2 linked regions of the Sus scrofa genome follow. The protein of the gene in region 2 purifies or fractionates together with the protein of the main gene of each other region. This does not show direct contact. Links are inferred from orthologs where the notes say so. Each region holds a gene or a part of one and is shown on either strand. Other genes may lie near its edges.

Region 1 (6,522 bases), on a different chromosome or scaffold from region 2:
CACATGTGCAAACCCAGGTATTGAGGATATTGTGCTGGTGCCTCTATCCATTGCAATAGAGCCTTGATTCCTAGCTTGAACCATGGAGGTTTGGGGGAGTGAGAGACAGAGGAAGCCACTGGGCTGGGAGGGACAGTTTCTAAATGGAAAGTCTAAGATGTGAGTCAAAGGTAGTCAGGCCCCAGCAGGTTTTGGTTATTGAAACACTATCGTTCAGGCTAGTGGCGAAAGAGCTGCCCTTTTACCCAAAAAGATAACCCTCGTGACACAGAATGACCTCACTGCTTTAATAGAATCTCTGCTTATGGCTTGACTCACTTTTAACAAGATTCCAAATAGCACAATTGCACAATGTTATACTCTCAAAAGCCAAGGCTGTCCCACCTCCCATCACATGGGTTCACATTCTCAAAGGGAGAGCAATAAATCAAAGCCAGAGAAACCTAGAATTTTGCAAAAATTCCCCATGCTGACTCACAAGCAGAAATTATGCTAAATTATTGGAAAATTCTCAAAGGTGTAGTGACAGAGTTATCCTTAGCTGCTTCTCATGTCCCTCATGCATAGTAAGTGTTCAAGAAATGTTTATTATTGGGTCTAATGAGCAAGGGCAGGGATTCTGGTCACGAGTCTTCTTAGGAGTCACTTCAAAGAGCGGAGAGAGTTTAAAAATATTTCTAACACTATGTTGGGGGTGGGGATGGCCACCCGTCATCATATATCATTGAAGACCCCTGAATACATTTGCCTGGGGCTTTTGGGGGACAAAATTGAGGAGAATTAGAGCTCCTTTGAAGCTCCTGGTCTCTGAGGGTGTTCTTGGGAAGGAAATGTCACCTCCTTTAAGGAGGCTGGGGTGAACTTAACTCACACTTTCTAGATGTGACCTTAGTGCCCTTGATGCTCCTGTGATCTACAACAAGTGATAGTGAGGAACATGTCATCTTGAGGGCCACCACCAAGGACTTGCTCCTGGAACTCTGTATGACTGACCCATGAAGAGCTTAAGGAGTTCCCCTCAGAAAGTCTGTCTGAGAGAGATCCTCAAAGTCCCCAAACCATCCCCTGCCATGCCAAAGGCCCTGCAGTCCCTGAATAGGCTCTCTGGCTGGAGACCGGATGTGGAATGAAACCAGCTCTGGCCTGAGAAGCACTTGGAACTGGGGCTGCTAGTGGGACATCTGGGCCTTTGCTGGTGCACAGGTACATTTTGTTTGGGTTGCATGGACATTACAAAAATTCGAGACTTTACAGATGAAAAATTGGGAGAGTCACATAAATACCTGGATTTCTGTTTTCTGAATAATCAGAGGATTTCTGAAGCACGTGGGCTATATAGCCTCACGGAAATAAGCTGACTGAAGTTGCATAGTGGCTGTCCCCCAAGTTTTCCATAGTCATTTTTGACCTGCTTTTCTCATCCACATCACTAATATGAGTCCTGAAGACGCTTGGATGTGCAACCCTTGATACAGCTAAAAAATATTTACTGAACACCTTTTATGTATAAAACTCTGACGCTCTAGATTTAGGCTCCTTCAGAGACTATCAGCAGCATAATCACTTGCTGGCTAATGCTGTCTGGTCTGCAGACAATGGTCAGGATGCTCTTAGAGGGGGAGGGTTGGCCTTACACTAGAGCTGGACTTCCTACCCTCTCACCTCTCAACTCCTTGCCATTTTTTTCTTAGCATACCATTATCACTGTAAGCAGGACACCTGTGAAAATTACCAGTGAGGCTGTCGGCCTCAGGATTTGCATTTAGAATCAAGTCAGGAAAAAGACAGTGTCATCTCATTTCTTGGTGTTCATCTATTTTATTACATATTTAAAAAAATAACATCCTTCCTCTAACAAGCTTAGTCTGCAAATACAAAGTGTAGATGCCAATTTGAAAAATAATTATCTCTAAATCTTTTCACTTGCAAAGGTTCAGGTGTAATTTAAAAAAGTCTCCCCTTCCTGGTGTGCATAAAAAAATTGCACCTCACAACTGTCAATCAAATTAAAGTTGGATTATATCAAGTGGCTGTACTGGGTAGGTCCCTTCATGTTCTTTCTGGAAATACACTAAGTTATCCTCCTGGTAACATTCAGAGTTTCAGAGCTTTATCATTTATGGCATTGTAAATATCCTCAGTCATAGGCACATACGTTTCTGCTTTATCATCCAAGAAATACAAGGCATCTTTGATAACCGCAGGGTTAAAGCCCTCTTCCACGAGGGTCACTTTTCGGTGTTTAAAAGTTCCAGTGATCTCAATGGTGTCCTGAAAAACACCAAATGGTCATTTGAGAGCTGTGGAAGTGAGTTCTGTGTGATACCAATACAGCCTATCTTCAGAACCTCCACTAGGAGTTCCATCTTGGGGCAGCGGAAATGAATCTGACTAGGAACCATGAGGTTGAGGGTTTGATCCCTGACCCTGCTCAGTGGGTTAAGGGTCCGGCGTTGCTGTGAGCTGTGGTGTAGTTTGCAGACACAGCTTGGATCTGGTGTTTCTGTGCCTCTGGCGTAGGCCAGCGGCAACAGCTCCAATTGGACTCCTAGCCTGGGAACCTCCATGTGTGTGGGTTCTGCCGGCTCAAAAGACAAAAAAGACCAAAAAAAAAAAAAAAGAACCTCCACTAGGGGGCCCTTTGTGGAAGTAGTTTTCCTTCTCTTAAAGCTTTAGGGTCACCTGGGGAGAAGTGAAGCTGACAGTGGAATACAGAGTAGAGAAGTCTGTTGCTTGGTGAGCTTCAGATATCACTGGAATATCCTGATTAACGATGGGGTGGGACTAAGGATCATCTACACACAGACAACTCAGTCTTTTCAGCCTGTTTGTTAGACTGAAGACTGGTTTCTCCTTCAATAAATAGGAGATGATTTGAGGATATTTCAATTTTCATGTCTTTCAACCATCTCATTGTGAAGCAAATGCCAGTGCTTTAAGAACAGCAGCAGGTATAACCATATAACCTTAGCAATATCTGCTAATCTAACACTTCTCAAATCTTCAGCTAAGGTCCAAAAGTGAGAGTATTTAACTAAAGGGTTAATGTTTGAGAAATAAAAAAATCCTATTGCTAATAGTTTAGCCTTTGGTAATTACTACTGGCTAATGATGCCCAGTTAAATTTCACTCCAGAGAAAGGCAGAGGACTTCAGTGGATTTTTCCATTCTTTAAAACTGGAAACAACAAATAAGAAGGTTGGAGCATTTCTGATTGATGTGTCTGTTACACCTCAACAAACAGACTTTGCGAGTTATTAGCTAACACTGTTGCTGAATGAACTGCCTGTCATTTTAGGGAGAAAGGGATTAGGATTTGGTTTCATCTAGCTGTATTTTCTAATATTTCTTTCTTCCTTATTTACTATTATTATTTTTTCTTTTTAGGGTTGCACCCATGCCATATGGAAGTTCTTAGACTAGGGGTAAAATCGGAGCTGCAGCTGTTAGCCTACACCATAGCCACAGCAACGTGAGATCTGAGCCGTGTCTGCAACCTACCCCACAGCTCACCACAACGCTGAATCTTTATAACCCACTGAATGAGGCCGGGGATCAAACCCGCATCCTCATGGATCCTAGTCGGGTTCGTTACCGCTGAGCCAAAGCTCCTTATTGAGCTTCCTGAAAAGGGTAGTGAAAATTTGGCTAATGTGGTCGCCATGGTAGAAGGGGAATTGTTTCCTAAGAGGCAGGGGTCTCCAAAAAGGAGGATAGCTGAACTTGATAACAAGAGGTCTCACCTGTATTCTTAGAAACCGGGGCCTTGCATAATTGGGCAGGTAATCGGCCACATGCTTAAAGAGTTTCTTTCCATCAAATTCATGGTTTTCCTTCATCTTGATTGAGGCCATGCCAATTCGACCTTCGTGACCTAAAGATAAGTGAGAAAAAATTGACTTGTAGCTCTTTATTTTACTTATGATGCTTTGCTAGTTTAAAGAGCGGTGAACTCAGACAGGATTATGGCCTGGGCTTCTTTTGGATAGCTGGAATTTTTATCAAATACATGTGGGGGTTATTCCAGAGTGAATATAATGATAACAACAGCAAAGTAACAGCTTTACATTGACTGAATATTATATGTCAGGCCCTTTACTCAGTGTGTTTTATGTACTATCACATTTAACCCTAACAACCTTATGAAGAGGTACAAATATTATCTCTGTTTTACAGATGAAGAAACTGAGACTTAAGGACACTAAAGCCTTGTTCAACTTCACGTAGCAAATACTAGCAGGGCCAGAAAAGAACTGAGGCAGGCTGTCTCCAGATCCTATGCTTGTCACCATCATCCTTCTTAGCAGCCAAGGTATAAACACCCAAGTGGCAAACAGGTGGAACTAGTGGCTAAGGGAAATTTTTTGATGTTGGTGAATAAGTCTTGCTCCACTGTCATGAATAAATGAGCTCAGCTTGTGCCTGAGTTACAGTTTCAGGTCTGTTGTGCTTCCAGGGACAAACTTCACCTTTGAGACTTACTTATTTAATCATGCTTCCTAATAGCTTTGCCTCTGCATTTCAGAGAAGCTGCAGGACAGGAGGATGAAGGTGAGATCAAGGGTGAGCACTGGATGCTTTCTGTTCCCGGGAGGCTGTGCTCTCCGCAGAGAAAAGAGGGCTGAACAGTTTTCTTCCCTGTCAGGCAGGGCCTTAAGTGGAGAGGTGTTCAGAACAATTACCATTGTTTTCTTGTGAGAACAGTGGTAATTACGTATTAATCTATCTTCTACCTGATCCAGTAGACCCAGTGGGAGTCCGGGTCCACTTCCCTGAACTACTTAACTGTAATCAGAGATGGGGGAGGAGCCGCCCTTGGTCACCTGGGCCCCAGCTTTCGAAATTTCTCCCATGGTGATTGTGTGTTTACCTATAACTCTAAAGAAGGCAGAAAACAAAAGGAAAGTTATAACAAAGGAAATGCATCCTCATTTGGTTTGCCTCTTAGCAGAGAAGCAGGGCACTGGACCCTCTTTCTCTAGAGGTCCCTGGTAGCTGTCTCAAAGGTACTGGACTCGGGAAACTTGAATGTTTCCAATCAGCCCTTTTTAGAATTCAAGCAGAGGCTGATGCAACAGAACTCTTCAGCATCAGTGGCTCCTTGTGCCCTGCACTGGCAGAGGCACTGCCCAGTTGAGAGGTCAATGGGGCTATTGGGGGTCAAGCCTCTGGCCTGACTCCCAGAGGTTGGTTGGGGCTAGTTCAGCTTGAGGTGGAAGGTTCTTGTCTGCAGTAGTTCTGGCCAGGGTTTCTTTGTAGAGTAGTGGATTAGGTCTTTTCATCAGGGCCATCAGGGCTTCACTATTCAATATAGTAGCCATTGGTCACATGTAGCTATTAACATTATAGTTAAACAAAAATGAAAGATTCAATTCCTCAGTTGCAATAGCCACATTTCAAGTGCTCAGTAGCCATCTGGTGGCTTTTGGCTACTTTATTAGACAGTGCAGATATAGAACATTTTCATCATTGTAGAAAATACTGTTGAGGAGTTCCCCTTGTGGCTCAGTGGGTTAAGAACCCAGCTAGCATCCTTGAGGCTGTGGGTTCAACCTCTGGCCTCATACAAGCTGTGGTGTAGGTTGGCAGCTGTAGCTCTGATTCAATCCCTGGCCTGGAAATTTCCATATGCCACTGGTGTGGCCCTAAAAAGAAAAAAGGAAAGCACTATTGATAATATAAAGTTCTAGAGAGTAGTTGGGTAGTTCTGGTGTGACACCCAGAAAAAGTCATCTGTATGTAGTCTAGGCCCAAACCTAGAAGTTCCTTCCTAGTCTGAAGCTGAGATCTGCTCAGCCTTGCTCAGCCTTTAGGAACTGAGAATCACCCTGGTGGACTAATGCCTTACTCTTAGACTTGCCACATTTCTAGGTTGAAAGAGTGGGATTGAGAATCATAGGATCTGAAAGCTAGGGGAGAATTTAGTGTAATCTTTCAGGGCTGTGAGAATTCTCACAGGATCCCGAGTGGACATCCAGCTTCCTTACACGCCCCAGTGGGTAGAATATTGTCTACCTCAGGAGGTGGCCTGTTTTGTTGTTGGTCCCTCTGGTTACAGAAGAGTTCTCAGATTAAACTGTGCTCCCTGGTCATTTCAATCCATCAGTTTTCATTCTGCTCGCCAGAGCAACATGATCACGTCTGCACCCTGTTCTACCTGACGCTCTACCTGAGTGTCTTCCAATCACTGAAACTCATTAGCCTCCTCTTTGTTCTCTGGCTTGTAAACTTTACTGGTTGTTAGACCCACTTGTGAATTAAAAAAAGACACAAAAATTGAGTCCCAAACCCCAGAGGTCTGAGCTTTAAATTGTTTCCCAGATGAGTCTGAGGATTGGCTAGATTTTTAGAACCACTAGGCCTCTGTGCTTCTCAGAATTTAGTGTTTTAAAAATTGTGGTAAAATATATGATTCATCACCTTCATCATTTTAAAGTAAACAATTCAGTGGCATTTAGTACATTCACAATGTTGTGCACCATCTCTTTTTTATTCCCAAACATTTTCAGCAGTCTAAAACCA
Region 2 (6,513 bases):
GGACAGCTACAAGCAAAAGAATGAAATTAGAACACTTCCTAACACCATACACAAAAATAAACTCAAATGGATTAAAGACCTAGATATAAGACCAGACACTATAAAACTCTTAGAGGAAAACATAGGCCAAACACTCTCTGACATAAACCACAGCAATATCTTCTCAGATCCACCTCCTAGAGTAATGACAATAAAAACAAAAATAAACAAATGGGACTTCATTAAACTTCAAAGTTTCTGCACAGCAAAGGAAACCCTAAACAAAACAAAAAGACAACCCACAGAATGGGAGAAAATATTTGCAAATGAAGACACTGACAAGGGATTAATCTCCAAAATTTATAAACATCTTCTGCAGCTCAATACCGAAAAAAAAAAAAAACCCTGTCAAAAAATGGGCAGAAGATCTAAATAGACAATTCTCTAAAAAAGACATAAAAAGACATACAGATGGCCAAAAAACACATGAAAAGATGTTCAACATCACTAATTATTAGAGAAATGCAAATCAAAACCACTACACGTACCACCTTACACCAGCCAGAATGGCCATCATCAAAAAGTCTACAAACAATAAGGCTGGTAGAGGCCAGCAGCTGCAGCTCCAATTCGACCCCTAGCCCAGGAACCTCCATATGTTGCAGATGTGGTCCTAAAAAGAAAAAAAAAAACAAAAAAACGCTTTGAAACAATTTGATCTTTTCTTTAAAAATCAAACAACATAATGTCCATACATACTTATACAAAGTTCACAGCAGCTTTATCTTGGACAAACTCAAACATCCATCAACAGGTGAACAGATGAATCAATATGATATAAACATATAATGGACTACCACTTAGCAATACAAAGTATTGTTTTTATTTATTTATTTTTTTTTTTTTTGTCTTTTTTTGCTATTTCTTTGGGCCGCTCCCACGCATATGGAGGTTTCCGGGCTAGGGGTCGAATCGGAGCTGTAGCCACTGGCCTATGCCAGAGCCACAGCAACGCGGGATCCGAGCCGCGTCTGAAACCTACACCACAGCTCACGGCAACGCCGGATCCTTAACCCACTGAGCAAGGGCAAGGACCGAACCCGCAACCTCATGTTCCTAGTCGGATTCGTTAACCACTGCGCCACGACGGGAACTCCACAAAGTATTGTTTTTTATAGATAAACTATAGGTAAACAAGAACTTGGATGATACTGATGTTGAGTGAAAGAGCCAGACACCTACAAAAAATTCTTCTTGGAGTTCCCTGGTGGCCTAGTGGGATAAGGATCCAGCATTGTCACTGCTGTAATGCAGGTTTGGTCCCTGGCCCAGGTCTTCCACATGCTGCAGGTGTGGCCAAAAAAAAATTTTTTTTCCCTAATCATATACTTTAAATACAGAGTTTAATACTTCAATTATACTTCAAAATATATGCAGTTTTTTGTGTGTCAATTATATCTCAATAAAGTTGCTCTTAAAAATGACCTCACTCAGTGGGTTAAGGATCCAGTGCTGCCACAAGCTGCAGTATAACTCACAGATGCTGGTCAGATCAAGTGTTGCCAGGGCTGTAGTGTAGGCCCCAGCTACAGCTCCAACTCAAACCTAGCCCAGAGAACTTCCATATGTCACAGATGCGGCTATAAAAAGAAAAAAAAAGTTGAAGACAATAAGTAGCCACTGACGAATTTTAAGACAGAAGAATACAATTAAATCTGTGTTTTAGGAAAAAGAAAACTTGAGTGGCAATGTGGACAGAAGGGAGATGAAAGAGACACAGGATTTTAATTGGGAACCTACAGCAAAAGCCCAGGTTATAAAAATGAGAGAGTATATCAATTAATTTCTTTGTCTCTCTTTTTTCCCCTTCTTTATAGGGCTGCACCTGTGGTACATGGACGTTCCCAGGCTAGAGGCTGAATCAGAGATGTAGCTGCCAGCCTATGCCACAGCCACGCCAGATCTAAGTCACAGCGGCAACCGGCACAGCAGCTTGCAGCAATGTAGGATCCTTAACCCACTGAGCAAGGGCAGGGATGAACCTTCATCTCACAGACACTGTCAGGTTCTTAACCAGCTGAGTCACAAGGGGAACACCCCTTTTCTTATCTGTAAATTAAGGTTACTACCAATATTACAGGCTTACTGTGAAGAGCAAATGGAATATACATGAAAATGCCTTCAAGCTATAGAATACGATACAAACATTAAAATATAACTGCAATTATATACATGTAATTCTTTCTTGTCTCTTTCTTCTAATTTAATTGTGGTGCATCAGTGGTCTCCTAACTCTGAACCTGCTCTCAAATATAAGTGCAGTGTTCTTTTTAGGCAAGTAAGTATGAGACCTTCCCTGGGCTACAAGTATTGCAGCATTCATGAGAACTATCTAAGCGGCCCAAATGTAAGGTCACTCAGATTCTCTACCTTCAAAGACAAAGGTTTAGCATTTATAGCTCCTGGGACCTCATTTCCTGTACCATATATAGGAATAACTACAGGTATTAAAGTTTTTTTCCCAGAGACTTTGGGACTGAACCTTTAAAAAAAAAATCCATTCACTACCTCTTTACCCAACAGTCTTTTCAGTTTCATTTCCAAACCGTACCTCATCCATTGACATATCCCATACTCTGCAAATTTCATTCTCCATTTCTTCATCAAGCTCCATCTGCTGCTCCTCATCATCTGAGCTGGATTTGGTGTTTTCAGGGCTAACAATCTTCAGAAACACAAATGGAGATGAATAAAGGCTGTCCACAGTACTTTTCAAGTAATGATATCCCCAAATCATTTAGAAGTCACAAAGACAGCATCTTCAAAATATCTTCTCTTGTAAAAAGCTTATTTTAAAAAAAATTAGGGAGTTCCCATCATGGCGAGGTGGTTAACGAATTTGACTAGCATCCACGAGGACACAGGTTCAATCCCTGGCCTCGCTCAGTGGTTAAGGATCTGACGTTGCAGTGAGCTGTGGTGTAGGTCACAGACACGGCTCGGATCCTGCATTGCTGTGGCTGTGGTGTAGGCCAGCAGCTACAGCTCCGATTTGCCCCCTAGCCTGAGAACATCCATATGCCGCAGGTGTGGCCCTAAAAAGCAAAAATAATAATAATAATACCCTGGGTACCTTGGGTAAATACTGTTGTTAGGCACTGGGGTAGAAATGCAAAGATGAATAAGATTTAATCCCCTGCTTTCAAATAGTTTAGGATCTAGTGGGGAAAAGACACACAAACTGATACAACAGAAAAGGCAAAGAGATTCAAATGAATTACGGACAAAGAACTGTAAGAATAAAAATGATGGACCAATGACCTAAGTCTGGAAGAAGTCTTCCCAGCTTCTCTTAGGAGGTGATAATGAGGCTAAATCTCTGAGGAGGAAGTGGAGTTTTCATGTGAAGAAGAGAGAAGAGCGTAAGAAGAAAATACAAGAGTTCAGAATCAAGAAAGGGCCTAGCATGTGTGGGGAATGTTGAACAGTTTAGTGTGTCATGGGCAGGTGAATCTGAAAATGTTGCAAAGAGCCCAAGCAAAGAAAGCTGCATTTTTCTCCTGAAGGCAAAGGAAAGTATGATGAGTTCCCAAGGACAACTTTTTTTTTTTTTTTTTTTAATTCTGGCAGCTGTGTAGAAGATGCGCTAGAGAGGACAGTGATTGGAAGTAGGGGAAAAAGTAAGGGAAACATAAGAACGTTCACATTTACTGAGAGGCTCCTGTAAGGCAAACACTATGGTAAGCACTCTATGACCACTATAATATTAGTTCATCTACACATTAACCCTATATAAAATAACATATATGTTATCATCCCACTTTATAGAAACCGAGAAAGAAATCGGCTAGGCGACTTGCTCAAAGTCACACAGGGCAAGCCTCGCTTTTGGTATCTGGGTTGTACGACTTCAAAATCGGCATTTATTCTACAACTTTAAGTCCAAGAGATTTCTCAGTTAGGACCTGGGATTCCAGAATTACAGTGGAATGGCGAGCAAAAACCTAGCAATGTGTTTACATGGTCATGTTTTTTGGAAAATTTGCAAAAGTAAAATATTTTAACTGCAAGCATTCAGCATCCCTGCAATTACAATTCCTTTTGTGTTGGGCGTAACAGGGAGTGGATCCCGGCAGCTTTGGGGTCCGCGGAGACCGCCAGGACGCAAGGGGTGAGACCCAGCCTCTGGGGCCTGGGAAGGGGTCGCCGTGGGGACCGCGGCTCCCAAGGCTGGAGGGGGCCGCCAGAGGCGGGGCGAGAGTCTAGGGGAACGTACGATGAGCCCATGAGAGGCGCGAGTTTCCGCACCTGGATGAGCCTGCTGAGGACGCCGAAGAGCCAGTGCTTACTGTACACGGTGCTGCCAATGCAGTCACCCCCGGCCGCCTCCTCTTTGTCCTCGTCCCCACTGAGCGGCGGCGGCGAAGGGTTTCTGTCCATGACGCCTCTGGCGCGCGGGAGCCGCTCCGGAAGCCGCGGGAGGAGGCGAGAGGCCTCGAGGTGCCAGAGGGCCCGGCGCGGCTCCTGTCACAGCGCCCCCTGTTGCCCGGCACCCTAAGTGCGGCCCAGTACGCCCATCAGGCTAAGGGTCCGCCCAATATGCCCATCAGGCTGGGAAAGACTTGATGGTCCTCAACGCTCTATCCAGGACCTCAGTGCAGTTATTTTCATAATTGTTGTTTGTCACCCTAACTGAACCAGCTACTCCATGTCTCCAGGAGCTCTTAGCTTGATTGGAAGGGACGAGAGTGGAAGGCAGGAAACAGGACAATGACCGGTACAGATGCAAAGCTATCCGCTCTCTGATCTCTGGGCAATATTACCACTCTCATCCGTTTCATTCTTCCCCCAGGTGTGATCGGAACCCTGGGAAAGACGAAAGTCAGCAGTAAGAACGTCAGTATGACAACTCCCTGTACATTCAGTTCCTGCTTCTATTTCGTCGGTTGGTACTCAACCTCAAACCCAGTGCTCCCCTGCACCCCACAGCAAATATTTAATGATACCACTTAACTTTAACGAAATGAAATTTACAGATCATTAACCTACCTCAACACGTAATTTCAATAATTTCAATACGGTTTCCTTACAAAAACCAAAAATAAAATTAATTTAAATAATATGTATGTTAATGTTTTAAATGTTCAGGCACAACTGTGCTAGAAGGCACAATAAAAATCTCCAATTTTGTTCCATATACATTAAAGCACTGTGAGCCCAACATTTGTAAATGCCGAATGACAGAGTTGTGGTTCCATCAGGACCCTGCTTCTCAAAATCATGAACAGATGATGGTAAAATTTCTACTGAATTTAAGTTCCAGTTACACAGCAATAGCACTTGTAGAAGTTCTAAAGTATATTAAAACTGGAGAAAAAACACTCTGTTAGTACATAAAATACAATTGGATCCTTGGCTCAAATAATTATAAACGTTTTTTCATCTTATGTGCAGGGGCAGACCCGAGTTTTGTGGGGCCTGAATTATGCAATTTCACAAGCCCCTTTTAGGGAGAACAGTACAAACGTACAAATATTAAATTAGTTACAATAGGAAATATTTATTTAGAATGAGAAAAAAGAAATCACAGCAAATTACCAATTTTAAGTAGCCAAAAAATACCTTAAAATGAAATTCAGAAAAATATCCAACTGTTTTTATTAATAAGTGGCCTGGCAGACTTCCACAATCCTTTTTCTTTTTTTAATGGACTTTATTTTTGGAGCAGTTTTAGGTTCACAGCAATCATAAGCAGAAGGTACAGAGATTTTTCCATAGAACCCTTGTCACCACTCATGCTTAGCCTCCACCGTTACCAGTATTCCCCATCAGATATAATAAACAACATTTGATACAATGAGGAGTTCCTTTCAGGGCTCAGCATTAATGAACCGGACTAGGATCCATGAGGACATGGATTCGATCCCTGACCTCACTCAGTGGGTTAAGGATCTGATGTTGCTGTGATCTGTGGTGTAGGTTGCAGACGCGGCTCAAATCCCACGTTGTTGTGGCTGTGGTGTAGGGCGGCAGCTGTAGCTCTGATTCAACCCCTAGCCTGGGAACCTACAAATGCTGTGGGTGTGTCCCTAAAAAGACAAAAAAAAAAAGGCAACAGTTGATACAATGCATGAACCTACATTGGTGCATCATTTTCACCAGAGTCCGTAGTTTACATTAGGGTTCGCTCAGTGTTGTACATTCTATGATCTAGCAAATTCATAGTGGCATATATCCACCGTATAGTATCACAGAGAATAGTTAGTTTCACTGATGTAAAAATCCACTGTGCTCTGCCTATTTACAATCTTTTTTAAATATAATTTTTGCTGAGATTGCTTTAACCATCTTTTTCTATGACAAGGACCTTGTAAGATGATTTTCTATAACAAAAAATAGGTAATTTGTCTTTAGCATAGTTGTTTAAATTTTTTGAAATTATTATTGTTAGCTGAAAGTTTCTTTCACAACTTGTTATTGGTAATATTATGTAAAGTTTTGCTGCTTATATTTTCCTTTGATTTTCATAGTGTC

Evidence for each region. The genes of interacting proteins can lie anywhere in the genome.
Region 1: the proteins of SAAL1 (region 2) and SLC27A2 purify together in Homo sapiens (co-immunoprecipitation; 3 studies listed by BioGRID and IntAct, with this or other methods). This does not show direct contact. The link is inferred for Sus scrofa from reciprocal best matches to the Homo sapiens genes SAAL1 and SLC27A2.

The regions. Positions count from the first base shown.
Region 1 is NC_010443.5:121,528,649-121,535,170, forward strand, and holds the end of SLC27A2 (very long-chain acyl-CoA synthetase), read right to left. Parts: intron 3,875-6,522; coding exon 3,744-3,874; intron 2,272-3,743; coding exon 2,095-2,271; 3' UTR 1,801-2,094; downstream 1-1,800. UniProt on the Homo sapiens protein: Mediates the import of long-chain fatty acids (LCFA) into the cell by facilitating their transport across cell membranes, playing an important role in hepatic fatty acid uptake.
Region 2 is NC_010444.4:41,026,626-41,033,138, reverse strand, and holds the start of SAAL1 (protein SAAL1), read right to left. Parts: upstream 4,467-6,513; 5' UTR 4,420-4,466; coding exon 4,288-4,419; intron 2,705-4,287; coding exon 2,591-2,704; intron 1-2,590. UniProt on the Homo sapiens protein: Plays a role in promoting the proliferation of synovial fibroblasts in response to pro-inflammatory stimuli.